2 linked regions of the Arabidopsis thaliana genome follow. The protein of the gene in region 1 interacts with the protein of each later gene in a pairwise test. Each region holds a gene or a part of one and is shown on either strand. Other genes may lie near its edges.

What was found.
Region 2: the proteins of MYB70 (region 1) and CIPK9 interact in a two-hybrid assay, tested with the Arabidopsis thaliana proteins (2 studies listed by BioGRID).

Annotation. Positions count from the first base shown.
Region 1 is NC_003071.7:9,902,715-9,910,136, forward strand, and holds MYB70 (myb domain protein 70), read right to left. Parts: upstream 3,319-7,422; 5' UTR 3,111-3,318; coding exon 2,181-3,110; 3' UTR 1,792-2,180; downstream 1-1,791. Other genes in the region: AT2G23270 (uncharacterized protein), read left to right, coding at 597-857.
Region 2 is NC_003070.9:61,622-70,920, forward strand, and holds CIPK9 (CBL-interacting protein kinase 9), read right to left. Parts: upstream 6,005-9,299; 5' UTR 5,892-6,004; coding exon 5,703-5,891; intron 5,277-5,702; coding exon 5,214-5,276; intron 5,129-5,213; coding exon 5,057-5,128; intron 4,937-5,056; coding exon 4,829-4,936; intron 4,722-4,828; coding exon 4,641-4,721; intron 4,540-4,640; coding exon 4,486-4,539; intron 4,244-4,485; coding exon 4,118-4,243; coding exon of another isoform or gene 4,112-4,117; intron 4,032-4,111; coding exon 3,942-4,031; intron 3,836-3,941; coding exon 3,710-3,835; intron 3,597-3,709; coding exon 3,489-3,596; intron 3,397-3,488; coding exon 3,280-3,396; intron 3,187-3,279; coding exon 3,130-3,186; intron 3,036-3,129; coding exon 2,949-3,035; intron 2,855-2,948; coding exon 2,777-2,854; 3' UTR 2,546-2,776; downstream 1-2,545. Other genes in the region: AT1G01130 (CBL-interacting Serine/Threonine-kinase), read right to left, coding at 284-328, 429-503, 1,936-2,190; AT1G01150 (Homeodomain-like protein with RING/FYVE/PHD-type zinc finger domain-containing protein), read right to left, coding at 8,494-8,664, 9,219-9,299. UniProt on the Arabidopsis thaliana protein: CIPK serine-threonine protein kinases interact with CBL proteins. Binding of a CBL protein to the regulatory NAF domain of CIPK protein lead to the activation of the kinase in a calcium-dependent manner. Involved in K(+) homeostasis under low-K(+) stress.

The DNA.
Region 1 (7,422 bases):
TCATCAAATATATGTTTGTGGTAATCAATCCTTAGAAAACTCTTATCATAAAACATTTTTGAGTTAATGTCATCTACAGTGATTATAGTATACTTGAAGGAAGGTGAGGACATTAGGTTTTGTCACAATATTATATAGATAAACATAAAATACCATACTAGATTTGAATTCCACACATAGTTTATGGTCTACAACTAAAAGTCTATTCCAAACAATCAGAGACAAAATTAAAATCATTTAATTTCTTCAGCCAAATAACTAATCTCCATTCCTCGTTGATGGCTTTATATGTTCGCAAATTATATTTTTAAAAAGAAATTGGAAGACCAAGAACAAGAAGCAACCTCAGTATTTTCCCAGGAAGGAGCCTAAAATTCAAATCTCACGTCTTGTTGAATTTTAAGCTTATGAAGTCAAAAACTGAAAATGTCAAACTTTTCTTCTTCTTCAAGGCTCTTCACTTTACTATATATTCTAACTCCCAAGTCCACAAACTACTCACAACAAATTTAGTCATCTCATAAATTAGGGAACACAAGAAAAATAAAATAAAAAACATTTTTGTTTTTACTACTCAAAAATACCACTCAAAGAAAATGATGATGAACAAAGTTGTTTTGGGTTCGTTTCTGTTTTTCATGTTGGTGAGTTCGAATTTTGTGGTGGAGGCTCGTCCTTTGGGTTTAACGAAGGCTGAAGAGAACCTCGTGGCTAAGTTCTTCGATGGTTTGTCACTTGGGGCGATTAAGGAGTCGGGTCCTAGCTCTGGTGGTGAGGGTCATCGGTTCGTGGACCGGACTGAGACGCTTGAATATGGTAAGCATTCAGGTCCCAGCACGAGTGGACCCGGTCACTAAGTTCCCGACCGAACCAGTTAATGTGGCTGCTTTGGTCTAGCTCCGGAAATTGATTGCTTTGTTTAGTTTTTTTTCAGATTAATTATTCAGATTTTTCTTTTTATGCTTAGAACTTGGGAAAATCAAGAATTGGAAGAACCTCATTTGTTCTCTGTAGGAATATTCTTTTGTTAACTTATTGAAATTCATTTGATAATAATGTACAATGTAATATATATTGTAATTAATTTATTATTCTGATTATGTGAATGAATAACTGGATATTCATGTTTTTAATGAGTTTCAATAACAACATAGTTAAGCTCCAAATCCACAAAGCAAAAAGAAGCGACTTAACTTTAACCTTCTTCTGAGTGATAATCACCTAAGCTTACCTCTTTAACAGCTACATCCACTTCAACTTTAACCAAGAAATCGCGATTTCCGTGGAAATTGAAGTTAACCAATTCTTTAGATAGTTTCTGAAGGATGTTGTTCCGGATGGAGCTGTGGAAATTTGGCTTGGACAACAAGTTATACACATATCTAGTGCATATTTCTTCTCCATTATATAGGTAAACATTAGGAGCCTTACGTGCAAAGCAATTGAACCCATTTATGGACATCATCAAGCAGGAATTGATGCAAGTGTGACTCCTTGTTGTATTGTATGCCAAATTGTGAAAAGGAAGCATTAGTTGTAGCAGCTGCTATGGAGAAAGGTACCATACATCCTATTGGAAGGTATTTGCTTGTCAAACATCAGTAATCTTACACCGCTTGATAGTTATTAACACAATCAAACTCTTTCTTTTTTGCAGAGCCACAGTATTGGGAAGGACCTCCCTTGTGCTTTGAGTATTTCCCCGGTAGAGGCCTTACTGCTACAGTTAGTTGTATTGAGGTGATCTGTTCTACACTCTGTATCATTCATTGAATATCTATATATGATGTTGTCTCTCACACTATAACCTTTACTGCGATGCTATAGTCGGTAACCGAAGGTAACAAACTACGGAAATCGTCACTTGGTTCAGTAGAATTCATTACTTCACTCTTCGAATCGCAAGACCAGTCTAGAGAGATCAAGAATGCTGTAAACTCCTCTTTGTATGGAAATGACTTTGTTCATGCTCTTCTTTCACTTTATCAAAAGGTAACATTGATTCACCTCGAGGACCAGCCTCATCAACCCTTTTATAGACCAATTTCATTAAATCTAAGACATGTCATGATCAAAATCAATACATTTATTCAGTTTTTTTTTCGAATGAATCAAATCTCAAATCATGAAATTGGCTCTTTCTCTGCATTTGCTACACAATTCTTCTCTTTTCTCACTCACTACTCGATCCTACCTAATCCAATAAACTCTCTAAACCCTACATTACGACCATTAGTTCCTTGCACCATACACGAACTTGCTCCTCCTCCAGCTCCTCCGCCGTTTCCTAGCTGTAAATCCGCCATGTAACTCCTAACCTCCGTCTTAATCATCTCCTGCACCACCGTCATAAAATCTCCACCAAGTCCAGAAATCTCTCTTTCCTTCTCTTCTTCTTCTTCTCTCTTCACCGGAAACAACTCCGGTGGAGTTGTTGACTCATTGACCCAAGGCAAAGACAACCTCAAACAAGTCATCGGATCTTTCTCCTCCTCCTCCGGCGATGATGACTCAATCACCACTCCACCAGCTCTCGCCGTCGGTTTAAAAACATGACAAGAAGAAGAAACCGGTAAAACAGATCCACTAGATTGCGATTGCTCGCTGACGTCAGATCCCGTTGGACTTAACGCCGTCACCACAACAACTCCTCCTCCACCACTCGCCCTCCGTTTTAACGGTTTTTCATCAGTTAAATTACCATCATACCCTCCATTACCACCGAAATCACAACTCTGCCCTTCCTCTCCTCCGCCGCCTCCGCCGCTACATTTCCGCTTCAGCGTTGAGTTCCAGTGATTCTTAATCGCGTTATCAGTGCGACCATTGAGAAGCCGTGCAATCGTCGCCCACTTGTTACCAAACCGAGCGTGCGCTAGTATAATCGTATCATCTTCCTCCGCCGTGAATCCACGGTGCTCTACCTCCGGAGAAAGCTGATTACACCAACGGAGACGGCAAGATTTACCGGAACGTCCAGGGATTGATTTGCTTATCAGAGACCAGTTCCTTGGTCCGTGCTTCTGAACCAACGATTGTAACAGATCGTCTTCTTCAGGACTCCATGGTCCTTTGATCCGATCCATTTCTTTCCGGGTCGAACCAGACATCGCTCGGATCTTCTTTTTAATTTAAAACTAATCAAATCGTTTAAAACGCGTTTCTATTGTTTGGGGATTTTGGAAAAGAACGAAACGATTTTTGTTGAGAGGATAAGTATGAAGAGGAGAGAGTATTTATACGAGGTGTGATGGTTAGAGAGGTCACCGGTTCTACCGGTAATTTTTTATCGTTAGTTAACAACAACTTAATTTTTTCGTAACTGTAAATTGGATTATTTACGTGCATAATTATGTTTTCAACTGAATCAAATTGAAATAAGTTAACTGACACCAAATTAAATATGTAAGTATATGCCGTTTTGTTTTATTATTTTAAAATCCAGAAAACTGAAATTTAGTTTGAACCAAACAAAATAAACTCTAAACTAAAATTTATTAAAATATATACTATTAAACAAATTATTATGTAATGTTTTTTTAATGAATGTTAAATTATAACTAAACATGTACTGTATTTCTAACTATAACTAAACAAAGATATTAAACTAAAATCAAATCATATTACATCAAATTATAAATGCAAACCTTTTTCAAAAAATAAATTCAAATTAAAAATTCTTATATATTGTAGTTATGTAAAACTATTTAGAAAAACTACATATTTAAGTAATTTTGCGTAATTTCTAAATTGGATTAGTTATGAAGAAGATGTAACGTGAGTAGTCTGATACGTATTTGAATATTTAAAAGAGAAAGAAAAAAGCACGTCAGGGAGTGGCGGTGCGATTGGGGGAAATGCGTCTGAGAGAGTGAGGCTAAAATAAAGAGAGAATCTTTCCAAGAAAACGGTTGGGGATTTGGGAAACAGCTGTTAGTGGGGACAGCTGTCAACGAAATATGTAACTGTGTGTGATAGAGAGAGTACATTTTGTGGTACTTGAGAGCGTTTCACAGGTGGATCGTTTTTTTATTTAATTTAAATCATTTCGTTTTTAAGTTATTTCCTTTTTTAATTATCTTTTCTTTTTGCATTTTGAAGGTTACATTCTTTGTTTTTCCTTTGCATATCAGTGTTGGTATGGTCGAATTTTTGAAGATTTCTATTTAAACGTAATTAGATGCACATTAATTATCGTTGTCGTATCTAAAAACGTATTTAAGTTTTTTCGGTCGTTTTATTTGTCGGATTATAAAATCTTTAGTTTAGGTTGTGAAAGATTGACTCTTATCAAGACCGTCTTTACCCCATGGCAAATTAGGCAAATGCCATGGATCTATTACTGATTTTAAAAACAATCATAAGCATAAAAGGCCCAATTTTCTTAAAACAAAATTTTATTAAGAGATTTTAGTTTTTATTTTTATTTTGGCAAAGGCTCAATTATAGCTTGAGACGGGACTGTTTCTTATATCGATAGAAAGTAATTAATGTTATCTTTGGTTTGATCGCATATACTTAATAAATTTTATCCGTAGTTATTTCAAAATAAAGGATTTATTGATTCTGAAGACTAATGTTTTTTAAAGGGTTTGTGTTTAGTTGCTTATGATTTTAGTTGTTGGGTTCGGTCTCTTTCGATTTAAGTTTAAAAACTTTTGTTGGTATTTTCATTAGATTTAGAAAAAATTACGTTTTCCTTCGACTTTAATTATAAAATCATATATGTCGTGTGTCGTTTTAGTTTTTCTTTTTTGAACGTTGTATTTTGTATTGGTTTCACAACAAATTTAAGAATATTTTTATTTTTTATTTTGTTGTGTGAAAACACATTTTGTTTTCAATTTAAAAGCACTGAAACACAAACGTCGCTTTTTTCGAAATTGTATTTTGCGTATTGAATTGACGTATCTATACATATTAGAAACGTATAAGTAAAGTATCCATACTTATTGAGTGATTCCAGTTTCTTCTGTTTTTGTTTTTGATTTTCTGATTAAAAGAAAAATAAAACGAAGATAAGGATGACGTTAAAAGTGGTTTAGGTTTTTTGTTGGATTCTTCAGAGACTTTTCTGACTAAAGAAGCCAGCCTGTATGCCAATATTATTACTACTTTTTATATACAAAAATCAGTTATTTTGGATATTCAAAAAGATACTAATAAGATTCTTACGTAAATCGAAAACGACAGGATAGATCGATTAGAGTTTTGAGAGCCTATCGTTACTATTCATTGTTTGATATAAGCTAGTTTAACATGTCTAAAAGATTTATGTTGAAGTAAAGTTCATTTCCTTTGTCGTTTTATTTGTTGTCAACATGATACTCATATACAAAGGAATACGTTAAACCGTACATCAGCCGTGTACCGCACAAAAAACGTCGCCTGCACATGTTCCAATGCCAACATGAACCTTGTCGTGAGCTTCCTCATTCTCTTCTTTCAAGTTATAGTTAGATAAGGTAAGAGATATCGAAAAGAGTTCTTAAGATTCTGTTTAATTATCGAAGCCAAATTTTATAGATTAAACAAGAAGGTGTCATTAATGGAGATACGGTATGAGATTTTCCCTTATTGGTCCATCGTATCTACTACCAAATTCTTCCTTCCCATAATTGTATATACTATTACCACTAATCATTTATGTAGTTGGTATTTTCTTATTCAAATTAAATATTAATGACATTGACCGAGTAACATGTATAAGTGTATGTGTGGTCCGCAATCGTACTTGTATATCTCATTTACTAACTCTGCATCCCTTCACGTGAGATTTGATTAATGTTTCTCTCATTATCCTGATACCCTACACGTTTTCTGAATAAATCTACGAACATGAAGTGGTATGCATTGGAAATTTTTAGGCGTATGAGTGTTTTTTCCCCCATTATATGATATGTATCTCAATGTGCTTTTGTTTTTTTATGATTTTCAACTATAGTAGTTTTTCATGATAATCAATATGCTCTGTCCCTTGATGTATCATACAAGTATTACTTTGTGATGTAGTGAATGTAATACATTATTAAGTGGTACGTCCATCAAAGTATTATAAAACAATAGTTTTTTCCTTTAAGAAAGTACAACTTTTCATTACGAATTTTGAGGGAGAATGTATTGTAACTCAATTCTTAAAATTATATTCTTTCACGAGAAAGGAAATTATTCCGTTCGGTCTGTGTCAATTCCATTATATATACTCACATCGAGACGTAATATCTACTTTTGTCGAGAGAAAAGCATGTGACTGCCGGAACAAAAAAAGCATGTGACCATATATCTCTCAGTTCCTTGTAAAGCTATCTCTCGAAATGAGTTTATTTAAAAGTATTCAAAAGTTCTTTGTTCAGGTTCAATGTATGTGTGAGCATATTCCTTTGGCAATTGATATCTATTAAACCAAAGTCGGAAATTTTTGTAAGGATATTGAAATATTGTCTCAAGTATTTCGTTATCAGAAACCTTAATAGATATCGATCCAAGTTAACGAAGAAGATGTAACAAAACTAGATCATTGGGTGTTCTACAGTTCCCCATTAAACGAGAGAAGATACAAATGTAAATTCACGAGGCATTAGAAGTCAAAGAGACAGCTAATTCATTTGTATGGTTACACTTTGCAATTGAATGCAGGTTGTCGTCAAGTCAACTCGATAATATAGGTGAGATTTTGTTTTCGATTAGTATCATTATGTCATTTATAAAGTCAAACAAAAAACTATATTACTAGTTACATAATTTTGCCTATCTAGCTATTATATATTCACATTTAAATTGAATCTTTATATTTTACGTATTTAAAAAGAAAAACATTTCGCAGCCGTTTGATCAGATCAGTGCACGTGCGTCTTGTTTCCTACCGGTCAGGCAGAACAAAGAAAAATGATATGTGAGTAACCCAAAGTCTTAAACTTTCGTAGTTGGGTACTTGGGTTCTATGTGAAACTTGGTCCACTCATATTTTTTCTTCCGTTTAATAAGTACGTCGTATGTATGATATGAGTATATGACCCATTTATAGTTTCTTTAGATATAGGCCCATATGTGAGTACCTCGAGGACTATAACTAAGGTTTAATCGTTGATATAAGATAATATATAAAAAAAATTACTTCTTCTCATTCAAAAGGGATTCCTAATCAAAACTTAGTAACTCATGCATTTGAATTTTAATAATGGTCAATATAAAAGAAAATTTGATCTAAAAGAATTTGTGGCGTATTGAAAAAAAAAAAAAAAAAAAAGAACAACTATTACAAAGGTTTTTTGTCACGTCATTATGAAAAAGTATAGACTTCAATTTAAAACTATTTGGCCATAAACTGAAAAGTGCATATCCATCATACACTAGTGTTGAATCATCTTCACTTCTAATGCGTGATATTCTAACAACTCGTTTCTTCATGCCGTTCTAATGTGA
Region 2 (9,299 bases), on another chromosome or scaffold:
CGAGTATTTTTGACTAATTGAATTGTTTGAACTTTGACTCATAGGTCTGACTAACTCAAAGTAAGCCAACCCGAGTTTTGAGGATGATCGCATATGGCTATTGGCTAACATATGGATCTAAATCTGTAGCAACTTCTAGGTTTGGCTTTTTGTAAAGAATAGTTCTATTTTGCCAACTCCAGCATTTTTTGCTATTCATTATACATTCAACTTTAGTTAAAAACTTTGAATTGAACAACTTGCTATTTTTTTTTTTTTTTGCTTTTGTTCTTCAACGGCTGCATCAGTATTCCAGACTACATCCTCCAATCCAGATGTTTTTGTAGAACTGCAAAAGAGATTTAACTTTTAAGCATAGAAAACCGAATTACAACAAATAAAATTAGAGGTAACTGAACCGGTTGGTAAAGATTAAACCGAAAATATACCTTGTGAAACTCGAGGGTATCATCGCCGGTTTTCCTAAGCTCTACCACGTGCAACGATGGTGCCACTTCAAACACCTATTATAACCGATAACCAAACCAAAATAATCAGGTACCGGCCGTATTCATGAAAATCTAAAACCGTACTAAACCGGAATGTTATCATTCCTATCTGTTTTTGTTCATAACTCTGTAGCTACAGAGTGCTGACCTTTACGAGTTACGACCACTTTTGTCTGCGAAATTTACTTAAACAATGTTTAACAAAGACACAACAACATTAATTGACACAGAGAAATCAAGAAGAAGAAGAAGAAGAAGAAGAACAAACCTTGTAGTTGTCTTGTTGAAATCATGAATCCTTGATTAAATTTCTATAAGAAGAAAAGTTTCAGTGAGAAGAAGATCATAGCAAAGATGAGAAGAGCAAGTCAAAGAAGATATTGGGCTTGTTGTCTTGTAATAAGTAATTGGGCTAATTGCTATGTTAGTCCCATATAAGTAAAGTGTTGTTTAAGTAAGTCAAGTCTAGGTTAGAGTAGTTGTTGTTAGAGTTCCAATACAAGTAGGAGGGTTGTGTAAGAGTGCCTAGAACTAGGAGAAGTAGTACATGTATGTGTTGTGTTGTAAGAAATCATCAATATCATGAATGTAGTCTTTTATTAAAGAGTAAAAACGAGTTCTTGTGTTTGTCTCTAAACAAAAACAAAACAGAGTGAAACAAAGACAGAGATAGAGAGAAAGTGTAGAAACACAACATGTGTTTACTGATATTGAAGCCATTCATCTTCTAGTAACTCTGCAATACTTATACTCTGCATTTCAGAAATACTGTATTACTTTATTTTGCTTAAATTTAGAAATAATTCTAAGAAGAATGGTTCCGTTCTCACATTGTATTTTCAGATAACATTTTTATCGAGGATATTAACAAAACACGCTATCATATAACACTAGTATGGACTCAAATTTGTAGTTGTATCATAAGTCATAACAAAAAAAAAACAGCTTAAACGAAAACTAACGTCAATAGCTTTTACTGTATCCAACAATATCTCACACTAAACCTACAAAATTCTTTTTTTTTTTTTCTCTCCGAAGAATCTTACTCAGAGATTTAAGCCGTGAGTTGGCCAAAACACTAGTGACATATATTCACGTTCAAAAGTTTATCTTGCAAATCTTGGATTTCTTAGTTTCATTATCAGATTAAAACAGAATTTCAATAATGAGGAAAAAGCATACCTACTACTAGTCTACTACTTTCTGCAACAACAAAACAAAAAAACTAAAACCAAGAAAAGCCCCAAAAGATTACCACAAATTAAGGAAACTTAAAGCCCATTGATTTCAACATCTCAACAGAGCTCTGACTTTGATTAACCTTGTTGTCTTGTTGAACCTTGTCACCGGAGTTTCCAAGGAGAGCTTCAATTATTTCTTTAAAAGGAATAATCTCTTCTTTCTCTTTCTCTTTCTCTTTCTTGTTCTTGTTCTTTCTTCCGTCTACTTTCCATTTGCCACCACCCCATTCATACGACGGATCCATCCACGGCGGCAACACCCTCCTCGCAGCCACTTCTCCGGATGCCGACGCTGTTTCCTTGTCTGAAACCCTAGATTCGATCTCTTTCGGTTGATTCGATCTCGCGTAATCAGATTCTGGTGAAGTGGGAACAGAAACCATTACGATTCTTTCTTCCGGAGGAGGTGAATCCCAATCACCCAAAATCTCTACACTCTCTGAATCTGAACGTTTCTCCATTCTTAAAAACTTTGGAATGCGAAATTTGCGACTTTATGGGCTTTACGGGCTGTTTGATTTGAAAGATTAGACAACTCACACAACTTATTGGGCAATTAACGTTGGTCTGCTCAACACCAACTCCTCACTAGAAACCACTCCGTCATCAATGTGTGACTGTACATCAAAATAAAACTTTTTTTTTTTGGTTGCAAACGTAGATCTATGTAGCTAAGATAACCTCTCTTTAATAATTCTATCATTGTGTTTTCCAAATTGTTATATATGTTGTGTCATTGTAACGCGTTGCCATAAAGCGACAACATCGTTGCAACTTTCAACTATACTCAAATAGCCAGCTTGCAGAGTATTTTTTGCCTAATTGAATTGTTTGAACTTTGATTTATAGGTTTCAAACCGAGTTTGAGGATGATCACATATGTGGCTATTGACTAACCTATGGTGATCTACCTCTATAGACCACTTCTAGTTCTAGTTTGGCTCTTTTGTCAGCAATACTTGTATATTGCCAACTCCAGAATGTTTACTATTCATTATACATGTTCAACATTGATTAAAAACTTTGAATTGAACAACTTGTTATTTCTTATTGCTTTTGTTCTTCAGCGGCTGCATCAGTATTCCAGACTACATCCTTTAATCCAGATGAGAAGTTTTTGTAGAACTGCAAAAGAGATTCAAACATAAAACCAATTTAAACACTAAACTAGAGATGTTAACCGGATCAAAACCGAACCGGTTTTTGATGAAGATCAAACCGAATCACATACCTTGTGAAACTCGAGGGTATCACCACCGGTTTTCCTAAGCTCTACCACATGCAATGATGGCGCCACTTCAAACACCTATTAAACCGATTACCAAACCATAACAATTAGATAACGATATTCATCAAAATCCAAAAACCGAACTGAACCGGAGTATTTTTTTCTTTCTTACCTCTGTAGCTACGGAGAGCTGACCTTTACGACCACTTTTGTCTCCTTTCATTTTTATCTGCGAAGTTTACTTAAACAATGTTTAACGAAGCTACAAAGACATTAGTTGACACAAACAAAATCAAGAAGAAGAAGAAGAAGAAGAACAGACCTTGTAGTTGTCTTTACGGACATTAAAGCCTAATGGCTTTGCGGTTTCTTCCATTTTCGACATTATTTCACTCGCAGATCGTTGAGAAGTAAACCGCGTTTCTTTCTTCACAAGTTGCTGCAAACAACAACAAATCAGATTTAGTTAGATAAAACCTATGCATGATTTTAGAAAATCAAGACAAACTGTAAGTAGAAAAAAGTTCTTACCGCTTGCTTCTCGAACAAGTTTTCAAGACTGAACTCGCTTGAGCTAGAGATAAGTTCGAAAGCGTTCATGGATACAGGTTTCTCCTTCTTCTCAGTTACAAGACATTCCTAGAGTAGCAGCACAAAAAGAGTGATATTAGTTGGTAACAATACATTGGTTTACTTAAACCGAACTATGATATACACAACCAGATGGAGAATTTGGAAATGGCGGTGTTTACCTTGGAGTTACTAAAAGCAGCATCAACATCATCTATGGTTATGTCCTCGTCATCTTGGTCAAATGATGGCGGCTTGTACCCTTTCTTGAACCATTCATCTTCGAGCAACTCTGCAATACTTATTCTCTGCATTTCAGAAATAAGTACATACTTAAGCTCTTGCACAATCTATGGTTGGCAGCATGTCATGTTCACATTTTCACAACTATTACTTCATGTAAGAGGCACTTACGGTAATAGGGTTGGGTTCGAGAATACGCTTGATGACTCTCTTGGCACCTTGCGAGAACCATGGTGGGCAGCTAAACTCAGCCTTGCATATCTAAAGTATATATTAAACACCAAAGATGAGACTAGAAAAGTACTGCAGAAGATCAAGAAGCAGAGGGAGAGATAATTTACACGTACACGTTTGTATAATGTCATGAGATTCGGCTCATCAAAAGGCAAGTAACCAGCCATAAGCACAAAGAGAATGACACCACAAGACCAGACATCTGCTGCTGCACCGTCATAGCCTTTGTCCGACAAAACCTGCCAGCAAATCCAACACAATGCAGTAGACAACATTAAAGGCATATCTCTTATATACATCATAAATAAAGAAGATTCTGCAAATGAAGTCTATATATACGTATAGCATTTGTTAGATTTCCTTCCTTTTTAAAAACGTATTAGCAGTTCTTGAATTCCTTAAAATCTTATTTTCCAAAGAGGATCTACAGAACATTTCATATTCTTTGCCTTTTTAAGTGCTGAAAGTTAGTACATAATACCTCAGGGGCAACGTAGTTTGGCGTTCCACAAGCTGTATGAAGCAAACCATCTTCCTGCATTCAAAAGAACAATGCTTAGAACACTTCATTCAAATTGATATCTTGGTTATATATATCAGAAATTAATTGCCAAGTGAAAAATATAATGGCATTACCCGAACTTGTCGTGAGAAGGCGCTTAACCCAAAATCAGAGACTTTCAAAACCCCATTTGCGTCAAGGATCAGATTTTCAGGCTGCAACAAGGAACAGATGATAACAAAAGAAACTTGAATAAGAACTAAGAAGAATGAATATCGTAATCACAGGAAACAAGAAGAGTGCACAAAAACAAAAGAAAGACCTTGAGATCTCTGTGGTAGACACCTCGACTGTGGCAGTAATCCACAGCATTGATGAGCTGCTGAAAATATCTCCGAGCTTCATCCTCCTTAAGCCTCCCTTGTTGCGCCTATGTATATGATTTAAATCCAAGAATTAACATAAGAGTAAGAAGAGAGAAAGACAGAGAACATATGTCAATATTTGTGAAGAGAAAAGAGAGGAAGATTCTCTAAGTTAGGTTACTTACGATTTTATCAAAGAGTTCACCTCCATTGACAAGCTCAAGAACGATATAGATCTTCGTTTTGCTCGCCATAACCTACCACAGAGAGATGTTTTACACGCTAAGATTCAAAACTTAATTTAAAAAATATCTAAGGAATGATAACTAATTAGTTTCGTACCTCAATGATTTCAACCACATTTGGATGTTTAATCAGTTTCATTGTAGATATTTCTCTTTTAAGCTGCACAACAACAAAAAAATAAAACTTTATGATCATTATATCTTCGAGATCTTGCTCATAACTTCCAATCATACATATATAGCATACAAAACTAAATCTTCAACAGATTCAAATCGAACCAAATCAAAAACAAAGCTACTCGAACTTCAAAACCATATCCATATCATAGTTAATAGTTATCTTGATCAATGCGTACTAAGATCAGCATCGTGTAGATATATACAGAAACAAAAACATTCATACAAAATTCGATATTTTAAAATATTATTGTTAACACTTTAATCAAACATTAACCTTAATAACCGAACACCAACCTAGGAGGACATGTGGGTCCCTAATCACGAAATTAAACTGTTCTTTATAGTACTTAAAAACAAACAAATCCATAATCATTTTACGTGATCAAACCAAACACAATTAACGAACCTGTTCGACCATTTTGTGACGGAAGACCTTTTCTCGGTCGAGGATTTTGATAGCGGCTTGATCTCCGGTGACGGTGTTCTTGGCGTATTTCACCTTAGCGAAGCTTCCTTCTCCGAGAGTTCGTCCCATCTCGTAATTCCCTACTCGCGTCCTACTCGCCGGCGTCGCCTTCCTTCTGCTTCCACTCATTTTCTTTTTCCGATTAAGAAAATCAACGGCTCTAGATCGGCGGCGAATCTATCAATGTGATTCTTCTCCCTCAATATCTCTCCTTCTTCTAGTGGCTGCCTGGTTTTAAGGCTGACGAGAGAAAGTGGACGAGCGAGAGATTTAATAGGCGCGACTGGGAGTCACGCGCGTATTGTGGGTCCCGTATGCCACGTAATGTCAAAAATCATTATTTTGCTCTGTTCCGCGTCAGTCCCGTGTTATTTGTACTTGTGTACGTTCGTAACGTTCATTCTTCATTCATATAAAAAAATTCCATAATTTTGTTCTTGTGTGGTAACTATATACAGAAACTCCTGTTTAAGTATATGGATTTTATGAAAATTTTGGGGTTTTAAATTTATGTGGATATGGTTTTATTTGTAAGGGATGTGATTTGATGTCCTTAATCTTTATGTGTATATGAGTATATCTTTCAGTGATTCATTCCATTCTACTGATGTTCAAAGTTGACTGTTATCATATTATTTGATATAGTTGTATTCTTTTCATGTAGAAATATTCTCTAAATATAACTTTTTTTTTTGTCTTTAGTTAGAAGTTGGAAACTACCTAAGAACAATAAATACATATATCAAATGTTGGTAGTTAAATGATGATTGTTATATCTTGGTCAAATTTTGTTTAAATCTATGATAATATTCGCATATACTTACTTTTGTTTAAATTTGATGTAGCTGTTTATTTTTGTTTGTAACGGTTCTAAATTTGATTATTTAAAGTATATGATAATAAATAAATAGATAATTGAAATAGTTGATCTTTCCATGTGACGATGTGAGTAAAGGGAACGGTATGAATATGAACCCCACATATCCTTCCTGATAAACTCAGAGATTTCACAGAATGTGATAATGTTTTTATTTTTCTTCTTTCCTTTATTTGTTTCTCTTATTTTCTTTCATATGATAATGCCAAAATACGCAGAAAAATTAAAAAAGTGTGGCAGACAGTGTGAGTTGATGATTTATTGCATGACTAGTAATAATGATACAATAATTTTTTAGATATGTTAGTATATTACGAACAAAAGAAAATGCAAATAATGCACAATGAACCACTCGTTCCAATAATTGAGTCCGGTACAAAAACATCACGTCACCATCATATGAAAGCAATTCATTTGGTTATCAATTTGAACTTCTTCATTCCACATTTTTTTTATTTTCCTGGTTATGAGTTGGAACTTATTGGATTATATGGATTAAAATTTAAAACCTATATAAACCAAACTATTATTTGGTTTGATTTTGTATTTACTTTCGGTTTAGCTTGGTTTGTAGATAGTTCGAGTAGACCGAACATCCGAGTCCTACATATATAAGAAAGATTGGCCCATTAACCAAATTTAGGCTTGATTGTGAATTAACATTAGGGCCCAACTAAAATACTTTTTTTTTTTTTTGCCATCCAATAACATTATTATCGCATATGTTCCGCATCATCGTTTACACAAATGATCAAATTGACCAAGTTAAGTTTCTTTTCTCTTTTTCTACATAATATTTGTTATTTAAAGCATTTGTATAAAATTATATACTGATAAGTGATGGTATATTCAATAATTTGTGTTTGTCTTTTTGTGATACAATTAATTATCCTTTATGGTTCCATTTTTTTTTCGTTGACAACGTTGAACAAAGATGGTCAAGGGGCCTAACTGTTTCTCACACAGTTTCCTTTCAGGGTTTAGTATTTGCCGTTTTAGTAACGAAGTTAGAGATTCATACGTATAATTATAAATAGTAGAGTCGGGTCAGATTGTGTTTCTTATCTAATTGTTATATATATAAAATTTGATAAAGCATATAATGTCTTGAAAGATTCAATCGTGAAATATGTGTACAAATATGTAAAATCTAGTTGCACCGCACGGCACCTTTTTTTCCTTCCTCTCCCACGTTTATTCTCGCCTCGTAACAGAAATTATAACTTGGAGTACTATTATAAAATACCTCAATAATTTTAGTTCTAAAAACATGTATATCTAAATCTAAACCATTGTGTATTTTGGAGTTGTAGGAGTTTTTTTTGTAGTAATTTAGTAATACATAACATAAAATGTGTCTTATGTTTAGATTTGCCTTTCATACATTGACCAACCTAAATCGGAGTCGGACCAGCTGGAAACTGGTCTAAATGTTTAATCGAGTTTTAGGTACCCTATCTAAAACCCAAACACAAACTCAGTTTTGCTCATAAATAATCTCTAAAAACCAAACACATTTCGTTAGAAAAACGACTAAAAACCGAGTTTAATTGAAATATACTTTCTAAACCGACCTACACGAACCGGAACCCGACTGCATATATACTTACTTACTCATACACTCTAACAATATAGAATCTATTATTGTCATCCATCTTTTCTTTCACTTCACCTAACTCCCAGTAAATTAATTAATAAAAAGGCGAATCATAACTTGTTTAGATCCTCTTGCAAATGAACCACGAAAGCAGCATGAACACGAATATGAAGAAGAGGACAAGGAAGGAGAAGAAGAGTACGTCGTCAATGGTGTTCTTGTATTCGATGATTGTGAATATATGTGGAGGATTGTTTCTAAGTTATTGGCTTTACAAATACCATCCCACAAATTCTAATCTTTGGATGGTTCCTGTTGGACTCATCTTCTTCATCACTCCTGCGTTTCTTTCCCTCTCCATTTTGATCTCCGATCTCTGCGACGACGATGATGATGTCAATCTCGACCTCAACCAAATCAAGATAATTCTATAAAAGTTTTGACTACTTCAAGTGTTGTCGTTTATTTGGTATTAATTATTATTAACCTCCGTACAAATGGAAGACTTGTGGTTTTATTGTTAAGTTTGTAGATTTTTTCACCTTTGTTTCCGAAACATTTGGTACTTGTGCGACAAGTTATCTCCCCATAGTCTTAAAAGATTAACCTATTTTTAAGTTCTTCAAAATTATATCCATAATTCCCATATGATTCTCTTTTTCTCAATCCTCTGTTTTGTTTAAAGAAGGGTACAAAACAAAAGACTAACAGAGTGGGACGGCTACTACAAAAGACACGTTATCTTCTCTTAATATCAACATAAGGGATACAAAGCGAACATCATCTATAAGGACTACTGTTACCAAAAGATCTACACGGAGGAATCCGAAACTGCGATTACAAGGAAGGACTAACATCAAAGTCGTCACACTACTATACTGCCAATTCAAAAGGTCACTAGGATTTGTCTTAATGTTTTTGATATCAAATGCGTCATTTAATACTTCTAAGGATTTTATGGTGAAAGGAATCACATACGCACCATATTTCTCCATTTGTCCTTAAGATCGGAGGAATTACGAGTTGTGTGGAATATACCTTTTCCCATCTCCAAAATCTTCTT